Linked DNA regions of Caenorhabditis elegans. The protein of the gene in region 2 interacts with the protein of the main gene of each other region in a pairwise test. Each region holds a gene or a part of one and is shown on either strand. Other genes may lie near its edges.

Region 1 (5,316 bases), 4.9 Mb from region 2:
TATCCACTTGAATGGTGACAGGATCCACGAGATATTACCTTAACCGCCATTAAAGTCTCTCGATTCTTCCTCTCCTTCTTTGATCCACTATTCGGAGCGAAACCTCCGGTTTCACAAATCTTGCGTAGAGCACCGTATCGTCTCCAGGGATTGTTGGTGCTCCGCGAGCTTTGTTTTTTGAAAGTTGGAAGCTCTCCGTTTTGAAGGAATTCCGTCACAAGTTGGGTATTTGCCAAGATGACTGATTTGAATGCGACTTGATTTGGAGGCGGGGCCGATGTTTCCTTGTAAGTTTTATGAAGCAGAAGAATTGAAGATGTTGAGCTACCAAGGGAACGAGCATTTGGAAGAGATCGGGGTCCCAGATTTGAGAGCTTTTAAATATAATTTTATTTTAATTTCTTGCAGTTTAGTTTATGATTAGTTTATACACATGGAAAGCAATTAACTTCAAAGAGCGTTTCTTTTACATATATAAAACTAAAACATCATCATGTACTATGAATGCTCACCTGAGAGCACATCGAATGTACATCATCAGTGGAAGATCTTGTACCATTTGAATCATCTGGTCGAACTAATCTCTTACCCGAAAGGTCTAATGGTCTGAAAATTATAAAATCTGAAAAGAACATTATTTGAAAAAGCTTACTGCATAATTTGTAGAGTGAATTTTTCAGAAATACAATACAAAAATTGAGAAATGAACGAAAAATGTCAATGTTGAATGCAATAACTCGAGGCCCGCACGATTTATTTAAATTTATTTAGAATTTTGGTAGGATAATATTCAATTCAGAAGGACAATTCCAACTTGTAGAGCTAATGAGCGAAGAGAAGTTTAAAATTTCTGGAAAAGTTTTCATTTCAAGATAATTTTTTTTTCAAAAAACGTTTCAAAACTTCCGACTCTCACTTATTCCCTGTTTGAGCTTTCTCCAAAATAAGAAACCACGCCCACTTTTTGTCTTACTGTAGTCTTAAAGACGCAAACAAAAAAATACAAGGCAAAAAATTCAAAATTTCTAATTTTATTTTTAATTAAAAACAGAGGCACATAATCTCCCCGTAAATACCACTTGAGTGAATTCTTACCTGAAAAGTAAATTGGTGTGAAATTTCTAGAGCCTGGGAATGAAAAGAAAACATTTGAAAATAAAGACCACATGATTTATTTAGACTCAGTTAAAATTTTGTTATTGGTATGGAAGAAAGCATAACATTTACATTGAATAGAGATCAAATGAAGTGAAATTTTCGAGTTGAGTCATTCTATTTGAAAACGGAAAAACTCGAATCGTTAGGTTGTGGATCACAATTTTCCGTGTTCTCTCCGGCGTCGATTGTCGATGATCCGAATGTGTAATCACTCAGAAGGCGTCCGGTAAGAGAGCTTTTTAGACGTTCCATTTCACGTGCAGCTGCAGTGTTCTTCTCAAAAGCTACTTTCTGGGTTTCTTTGAACATTGCATTAAGTTTTGCGAATTTTGCAACAGCATCTTGGCAAGAGTTGGTGATTTGGGAAATCGTCTCACTGTGTGCGTTTTTTAGAGCGAGGAGTTCTTGCTTCTGAAAAAAATGTTGGTGAGTTTTATGAAGATTGATCTGACAAAAACCTTTTTAGCAATTTCCTGTGACACATCTGGCTGACTAGTTTTCAAATTTGCGATTTGCCTGAAAGATTTACATCGTTTAAAAAAATGTTTTCAAAGTATCAAATAAATTCCTCACTCGGTAATCTCCTCAATTCTACGCTGACGCTCTTCACTTTTCTGCGTGTGTTCTATACGCAATTGTTCATGAGTCTCCGACTGCTCGACGAGTCGCTTTTGTGCCGTTTCCATCTCCTTCATCATAAAATCCAATTGCTCCTCCATTTCCTTGAGCTTTCGAAGATTCTCACTTTCAACATCGATCAGGTCAATGATAACTTCTCGAACTTCAGTCCACTGATGGATCTTCTCAATAATCACTGGCACGTTCTTCTCCGAGTTGATGCAAATTTCACGAGCCTCGAGTTTTGCTTGAAGGCCTTTTCTGAAAATAATTACTTTTATTTTGAATTTTTGGAGAGACTGAAGATATATCAGTACTTTGATGATTCAAGACAATCGCGGAGCTCTTCAATGTGACGTTTCCTTTCCTCCATTTCTTGTTTCAGCTGTTCCGGCGATGTCAGAACTTCTTCATTCAAATGCTCAATTGTCTTTTTACCAGTTAGCATTTCCTTTTCGAGGGCTTGAATGTGCAGAATAGCTTCTTCTTTCTGCTTGTCGAGTTCTTCATTAATTTGACGAGTTTCGGTATATTCGTTCACAACATTTTTAAGTTCTGCCTTCGCATTGCTCTGTTCGTTGATTAATTCATGCTCATGACGTTTTCTTATGCTTTGTTTCGCGAGAAGATCATTTTTCTTCTTCTCGGCTTCTAACAACTCTTCCCGAATCTTTTCCATTTCGAACTTTCGATCACTGAACTCTTCGCTAATTTCATTGAACGCTGGAGTGGCCAATTCGTGAAGTTTCAGAAAATCTACAAGAAAACTTGTCAGCTTTCTGAATCGATGTTCGTGTTTTGCAGGTGTCACGAGATCGCACATCGTCAAGTCCAGCTTGTTGCCAGAATTATCTTTGATAAATGCTTTCCTGAAAAAATATTTCAGCAAATCTAACATTAAAATTAAAATCTTACATGCATTGGAAGAGAATAATGATAGGAATGCTCTTTTTATGCAATTCTGGATCATAATCACAGTTGGCGGACAGCGGAAGGGTCGTCAGCGAGCTTTCCGACACATTTAACACAAGCCTCACAAAATTAGCAAATATTTGTTGCGCTATTTCTGCCTGAAATCGGGTTATTTGTGCTGATGAATTCAATATTCTGTTCAAACTTACGGTTGGCTTGATAATGTCATCGGCGACAAGGCCCATATGCAATTTTTGACCAAGATACTTTGAAATCATCCGCGGATCATACACAATTAGTACAACGTTTGACATTTCTCCTGAAAAATGGAATTTCAGTTCTAAAAACACAAAAATAAAGTTAGAAATTGTTAAAAACAAAAAAGTTTATTTGAATTCGCCGAAGAGCGCGCCAAAACATGTGACATTTCTCGGCCGTGAAAACTAGGCCACCGCGGCCACAAACAAATTTTAGTTTTCTTCGCTGAAAAAAACATGTTTTTCAGTCTGAAATCAGAGTTTTTAGTATGAAACAAGATGGACGAGGCTTCCTGTAGATTTCCAGAATGGGTTTCTTCAAAAATCATCGATTATTACGCAGAGCAGGTAACATAAATCGCTGTGATGAAATAGGGACAAAATTTTTTTAATTTCAGAACATCAAAGCGCTGTTCGATTGGCAGATTGATGTGTTGAATGAGGCAAGACAATTTGAAGATCAACACTTGATATTCAGTGCGCCAACAAGTGCTGGGAAAAGCATTGTAGCTGAACTTTTATGTATTATTTTATCTGGTTTAAAGAATAAATGTTTAAAAACTGTAATTTTCAGCATGGAAAGTCGCTTCAACTGGTAGAAAGGTACTCTTCGTACTTCCTTATATCTCCGTGGCTCGAGAGAAACTTCATCAAATTCAACGGTGTTGGAGACGAGATGACATTTCTGTCTGTGGCTTCATTGGTCCACAGGCCTCAAATCCAAATGAGTGGCTTGGGGCAGTTTGTACCATCGAAAAAGCAGCAAGTTTGACAAATCGAGCATTATCAGAAGATTGGTTTGAGGAAATTGGTTAGATAAATCGATTTTAATTTAAAATTTTCACAAAAAGTAGCTTTCAGGAATGATAGTCGTTGATGAAATGCACATGGTTTTCGATTCGTCTCGTGGTGCACACATTGAGCACATGCTCTCGAAAGTTTTGCTCTGGAACCAATCTGCACTGGAAAAAGTTAGAATTATCGGAATGAGTGCAACTATTCCAGAACTTTATCGAATAGGCAAATGGCTGGACGGTGCGAAAGTTTTCGAAGCAAGATTTCGACCAATTGTTCTACAAAATCATATTGTAATTGGTTCGGAGTTGAGGAAATCTGGAGATAACAAAGTTCTAAGAGAATTCTCTGAAGATCCATTAATATTGCTTACCGAAGAGAGTTTTCGCCGCAATTCTCAGACTTTGGTAATGATTTCTTCGAAACTTGATGCCGAGAAGACTGCTTTGAATATTGCGTCGAGATTCCATGAGATCAATAAAACCGACAGCTCATTGTTGGAAATATTAAAAGAACGAGCCAATGGACTATTATTTATAAAGCATGGATTGGAACGGAATGGTTGCAAGGATCGGAATGTTATGTCAACACTTGCATGGGGAGTAGCATATCATCATGCTGGATTGACGATGGAGGAAAGAGAATGCATTGAACTAGGATTTCGGGAGAAAAATATTGTTATTCTTGTGGCTACAAGTACTTTGGCTTCAGGTGAGTGTTTTAAAATTTTAATTGTGGTCAACCGAAATATCGGAAGAAATTAAAAGCAAAATGTTTGTTGAAATATTTTTGGGGAAAAAATTAAATCAAACAATAATTTTCATTTAGGGTGAAGATTTGTTGATAAAAATTTACTTTAAACTTTCAAAAAATACTATTCACTCAAGAATTTCCAGTTGTTTGCTAATCCCGCTCTTCCCTTTTTTTTAAATCGAAAAGCGAAAATTTTTCGGTTTTTTTTTCGAGATTCCAAAATGTCGATTTTTCGAATAATAGCATACAATTTTGGCCCTTTTTAGCTGAAGAATATTAAATTTTTGTTTTCTTTTTTCTTATTGATGAAATAAGATAAAAGGTTCAAATTCGTCGATATATTAAGATTAAAACTATTATAATTTTTCAAACTTTACATTTTCAAAAGTTTAAAACCTTCTTTTCCAAATAAAAAAATAGAATTCCAGGCGTAAATCTCCCTGCGGAACGAGTACTCATCAAGGCTCAGCCACGTGGCCCATCGGCTCTCACTTCTCTAAATTACCGTCAGATGGTGGGAAGAGCGGGAAGAACAGGACATGCTACACGAGGTACGTCTTCTTTTCCCGCAAAATCTTCAAATAAGTACTTGACAAACGGCGATTAAAAAGAAAAAAGAAAGAAGTGGTTGTTTCCTGACCGCTCATTATTATTGTTGTTATTAGCAGATTAATTTATTATTTAGGTAATAGTTATTGACATTGAAATTCACGGAAAAATAGAGTTACATGGGATTATTGTAATCATGATAAAGCTTCAATGAAGCATTATTGTTCGGAATCATTTGAGAATCCTGAAAATGTAATTGTGAAAGTGAGGAACT
Region 2 (4,795 bases):
ATCGAGCAAGTGTTGAGAATCTGGCAAAGGTTTTTGCGGCTTCGTTGTTTTTGACGGATGCAATGGATGAAAAAGTGTTCAGCGAGAGTTATAATCATCAGATTAATGTGCTAATTCATTTGACCACTGGATATGATGTTGTTTTTCAGGTAAATAAATACTTGAATATTTAAATATTCAAGTATTTTCAAAAAAATATTAGTTATGAAACTAATTTCAGATCAGCATTGAGGAAGAGTTGAGTCGGCAGATGGTTAATGATGCCGAGAAGAAATCGTTTAATGCGGTACGGTTTGTTTTTTTTCAGGCTTTTAGCAATAGGTATAACGAGACCTGGAAAATGGCTTTTGAAAGGTGGAGTAGCGTTAATGGGGATTTTATTCCAAAATAGTCTCAAATTAAAAAACCACAAAATAACAAAAAAAAATCAAGATTTTTTTTTGAATTTTCTCCAAAATTATTTAGAACTCCTATTTTTGGACCAATCAGATTCTTATTGGTTCGAAAGTGGGCTCGGTTTTTGAATTTTTCACTCATTTTTTTACACGAAAAGATCCCATGCTACTTCTCAGAAAAACCTAAAATAACGAAAATGATTTCGATTTTTGAGACTTTTCGAAAAATCACGTCAGCGTGTCCAATTTTGGTTTGATCTTCGGGAATGGCGGGAATTTAGACGCATATTTCTCAACTGATTTTGCATGGTTAAGAACGTGCTGACGTCACTTATTTTGGAGTAAAAACCACATGTTTTGTAGATGAAACCGTAATGGGACATTCTGACACCACGTGAAAAATATAAAAAAAAGTTTTTTTATTTTCCAATTTTTTTGAAAAAATTCAAGCTTTGAAATAATTATCAAAAATTTCAGAAAAAGCCAAGTCCCGACTTCATCGTGGCGATCCACGTTTGGGAGAAAGAAAACCGCCCGTTCAATGTGAAAATGAGCTTGGCGAGTGAGGAAGTTTGTAGAGAGGCTATTGCAAAACGTGGATTCGACGGACCACCCGATTCTCCATATGCGATATTCGAGTGTCTAGCCGGTGGAAACCTAATCAGACGACTTCCGAATGCTCAGAAAATGTCAAAATGTGTACTTCAATGGATTGATTGGAATTGTAAAGATGCATATCTATTGTTTGATCATGATAAATATCAATTCAACGGGACTGATATGTCATGTTTTACTGGGAAAATCAAAATCGCTGAGCCTGGGTCACGAACATTCAAATCGTATGAAGTCAAGATTGAAAATGGGACTTCGGTATGTGCTAGTGTATCCGTCATAGTATACACTATCCCGTAAATCGACACATTGATTCTTTCCTTTTCAAATAATTTCTAGCATATACTTTACGGATTTTCAGATTGTCGCGTTCCGAAACGAGAAACTCTGGAAAGCGTGGCCTATGGATGATTCGATTTGGTATGTTGGCACCGAGCCAACAAGAAAATCGCCAAACTTGTTCAACGCAACTATGATTTGTTCGACGAAAACTGGCTATTCCAGTAGCCGATTTCCTGGCTTCTGCTTCTCGTTTAAAGAAGAAACGGACAGAAATCGCTGGTTAACAGCACTTTCACATTTTACAAAAAGTATCGATTCTGAACCGCTCGTTTATATTTGAATTTATATTTCATGATTTTTTTAATGATTGCCATCTTCTTTGCTATTACCAATGTTTCTTTCTGTGATATTAGATGTATTTGAAATTGCATTGTTGAACTAAATTGTTTTTGAATAAGAATTTGTTTCCCAAAATATTTTTTTTTAAATATAAATCAATATTCTGTATAAAGTCTACTACCTTATTTACTTCACAGTGCAATAAATAACATGTATTTATACATCTCGTAAGATTTTTAAATTACCTAGGTTTAATATCTAAATAAAATTGGAAAAGTAATTTTTGAAAAAGTCCAAAAAATCCAGGTTCATATTGCCGCCCAACGAAATTATCTATGGAGCGCGTTTGCATTTCACCGCCTTTCTTGGAAAATGTATGTGTTTGTTCTATTTTCCCCACATTTCTTCGGTTATTACTTTCTATTTTGCATTAAAATGTGATACTTTAGAAAAAATAGAACATCTGCCCAATTGTTCCTAGAAGGACGTTCCTTTTTTCCACGGACTGGTCTGCAAAAAAAAAGCCACAATCTGGTTCTCTTCTTAGAATCAATAGATTTTTTTCTGTTCACTCTCCTATCCGCCTGCTGTGTTCTTGCAAAATGATCTCTGTCAATCTCCCGTAGACTTTGCACTTGTCATTTTTCACTCCGTTTCAACAGATAAGAAGAACTATTTCTAGTGTGTGGCAGCCATAATAAATGTTTTTAAATGTGTGAAATTTTTTACGGATCTGTTTCTAAAACAACATTAAGATTATCTTATTAAATATTTATGGCCACATCATTTGCTCTTCAAAGAATTGATATCGAATTGATTTACATGTTTCCTAATAAAAAAGAGCAATCTATGTATAGGCTATAGTCAATTTCATTCACTTGAGTGCCCCGACGTAGCCTCAATTTCCCACGGGGCAAAGGTTCAAATGAAATGATCATGCCATCGTTCTCCTTCTTTAGTTCCTTCGCTTTTTTGTTTCACATACCTTAGCCAATAAATCATATTTTATAGGTACAGTGCTCAAATGGCTTCAACTTTGGCATCGGCGGCCCGTGCTGCTACCCGTGCGGCAGTCACACGTAGTGTGTATAATGACACCCGTAACAACTTGATGATCAACAAAAGCACCAAAGTTATTGTCCAGGTGAGACACGTTTGTGCCGACTTATAAAAAATTTCTAGTTTCCAGGGTTTCACCGGACGTCAGGGAACCTTCCACAGCAAGCAAATGCTCGAATACAACACGAATCTTGTTGGAGGAGTCTCGCCGAACAAAGCCGGTCAAACGCATCTCGGGCTTCCCGTGTTCGGATCCGTCGCAGAAGCGAAAGACCGCACTGGAGCCGACGCTACTGTCATCTATGTTCCTGCCGCAGGAGCAGCTCGTGCAATTCACGAGGCTATGGATGCTGAAATTGGCTTGATTGTGGCAATCACTGAAGGAATTCCGCAGCAAGATATGGTCCGCGTCAAGAATAGACTTTTAAAACAAAGTGAGTATAGTATGATAGATAACATCGATACTTGGCCTGAAAATACAGATTAACTAATTTTGAAAAAATTAGAAAAGTTCTATAAACTGCATGAACTTTCATTTGCAGACAAATCTCGTCTACTTGGGCCAAATTGCCCTGGAATCATTGCATCTGGAGATTGCAAGATTGGAATCATGCCAGGGCATATTCACAAGAAGGGTTGCATCGGAATTGTGTCCCGATCGGGAACTCTAACCTACGAAGCTGTTCATCAAACAACTACCGTCGGACTTGGACAAACGCGTTGCATTGGAATCGGAGGTGATCCGTTCAACGGAACTAACTTCATTGATTGTTTGGAAGTGTTCTTGGAGGACGAACAAACTAAAGGAATCATTCTGATCGGAGAAATCGGAGGACAAGCCGAGGAACAAGCCGCCGAGTTCTTGAAATCTCGCAACTCTGGTTCCAATGCCAAGCCAGTTGTTTCGTTCATCGCTGGAGTCACTGCTCCACCAGGTCGTAGAATGGGACACGCCGGAGCTATCATCGCTGGTGGAAAGGGTACTGCTGGCGATAAGATCGAGGCTCTTCGCAATGCGAATGTGGTGGTGACTGATAGTCCTGCAAAGCTTGGTGTTGCCATGCAGAAAGCTCTTCTCGGCTAGAACAATCCTCTCTTTTTTCAATTTTAAACTTTCATTTAACCCTTTTCTATTTTTCTTCCGGGTCAGCTTTTGTGTCTAATTCTATTTTCTATTTAAGTAGTTAATTTTTTTCTCAGAAAATTCAAGAATAAAATAAGTTCTTCAAAATTAAAAATGCAACAGAAAATATCAACAATCAACAATCAACAATAAAAATAACAGCATTGAGATCACCAAAATTTAACAGCTAAAATACCAAAAAACTGCTCAAACTCGTAACACAATTTCATGATTCTGTTTTGAGCGCGTTGGACTTCTGTCTCGGTGACGGAATCCCGAATCTCTTGATTACGATAGTCGATAAGCTCCATATTGATAGTAGTCGGCATTTCCTCGTGTTCTGAAATACATCATTTCACACTGGCACGTGCGAAAACTGGAAACACAAACCGAAAAACTGTCGAGATAATCTGAAGTATCGCAAATTTTCGATCCGATCAATAGGAACTTCCGAAATGACACCGTATTTTCGCGGAATATGATGAGTTGAATTTCGAAATTTTTGACACTTCAAAGTGATTGGAGACGACGTGAGCAAATCGTCGCGAATCGACTGAATACGCTCAGAAGACGTTAGATGCATTTCAAGCATCACAAATGCTGCATAAACAGCTTTCTTGTCTTCACCAATTATCAGTGAGAGGGCATCGAGAAGAAATTGAAATCGACGAGAGAATGATGTAGCGGCAGTTCCGAGTAGATCATCACACGATTGATTGCTCAAGTAGAATCTTATTGGTCCGGTTACCTGGAAAAGATAATACAAAATAAAATATCTGGCGCTAAAAAGCTAAAATCAGGGACGAATGGTATTTTCCAGCAAATCTGGCAAAGTTATAACTTTGCCAATTGACAAATTGCCGATTTGCAGAGTAACCGATCAGTCGCCCACCACCCCTGTGGCTGAAATCTCACTGGATTGAAATGAGTTTGCCGTGCCGTGCAGTTCTGAATCCAGTCAGGTCGTTTGAAGAGCTGAAATAAG

Evidence for each region.
Region 1: the proteins of sucl-2 (region 2) and him-10 interact in a two-hybrid assay, tested with the Caenorhabditis elegans proteins (one large-scale study listed by BioGRID).

What each region holds. Positions count from the first base shown.
Region 1 is NC_003281.10:5,800,951-5,806,266, reverse strand, and holds him-10 (Kinetochore protein Nuf2 homolog), read right to left. Parts: upstream 3,008-5,316; 5' UTR 3,003-3,007; coding exon 2,898-3,002; intron 2,847-2,897; coding exon 2,692-2,846; intron 2,646-2,691; coding exon 2,094-2,645; intron 2,038-2,093; coding exon 1,732-2,037; intron 1,675-1,731; coding exon 1,617-1,674; intron 1,570-1,616; coding exon 1,273-1,569; 3' UTR 1,155-1,272; downstream 1-1,154. Other genes in the region: R12B2.3 (Ras-associating domain-containing protein), read right to left, coding at 39-374, 513-606, 653-657; Homeobox protein ceh-10, read right to left, coding at 5,218-5,316; polq-1 (DNA polymerase theta), read left to right, coding at 3,225-3,293, 3,344-3,467, 3,520-3,756, 3,807-4,451, 4,922-5,044. UniProt on the Caenorhabditis elegans protein: Acts as a component of the essential kinetochore-associated NDC80 complex, which is required for chromosome segregation in mitosis and meiosis and spindle checkpoint activity.
Region 2 is NC_003281.10:899,257-904,051, reverse strand, and holds sucl-2 (Succinate--CoA ligase [ADP/GDP-forming] subunit alpha, mitochondrial), read left to right. Parts: upstream 1-2,639; 5' UTR 2,640-2,652; coding exon 2,653-2,772; intron 2,773-2,817; coding exon 2,818-3,121; intron 3,122-3,229; coding exon 3,230-3,771; 3' UTR 3,772-3,914; downstream 3,915-4,795. Other genes in the region: F23H11.4 (Rho-GAP domain-containing protein), read left to right, coding at 1-149, 221-286, 873-1,265, 1,369-1,629; F23H11.2 (TATA box-binding protein-associated factor RNA polymerase I subunit B), read right to left, coding at 3,981-4,150, 4,201-4,558, 4,726-4,785.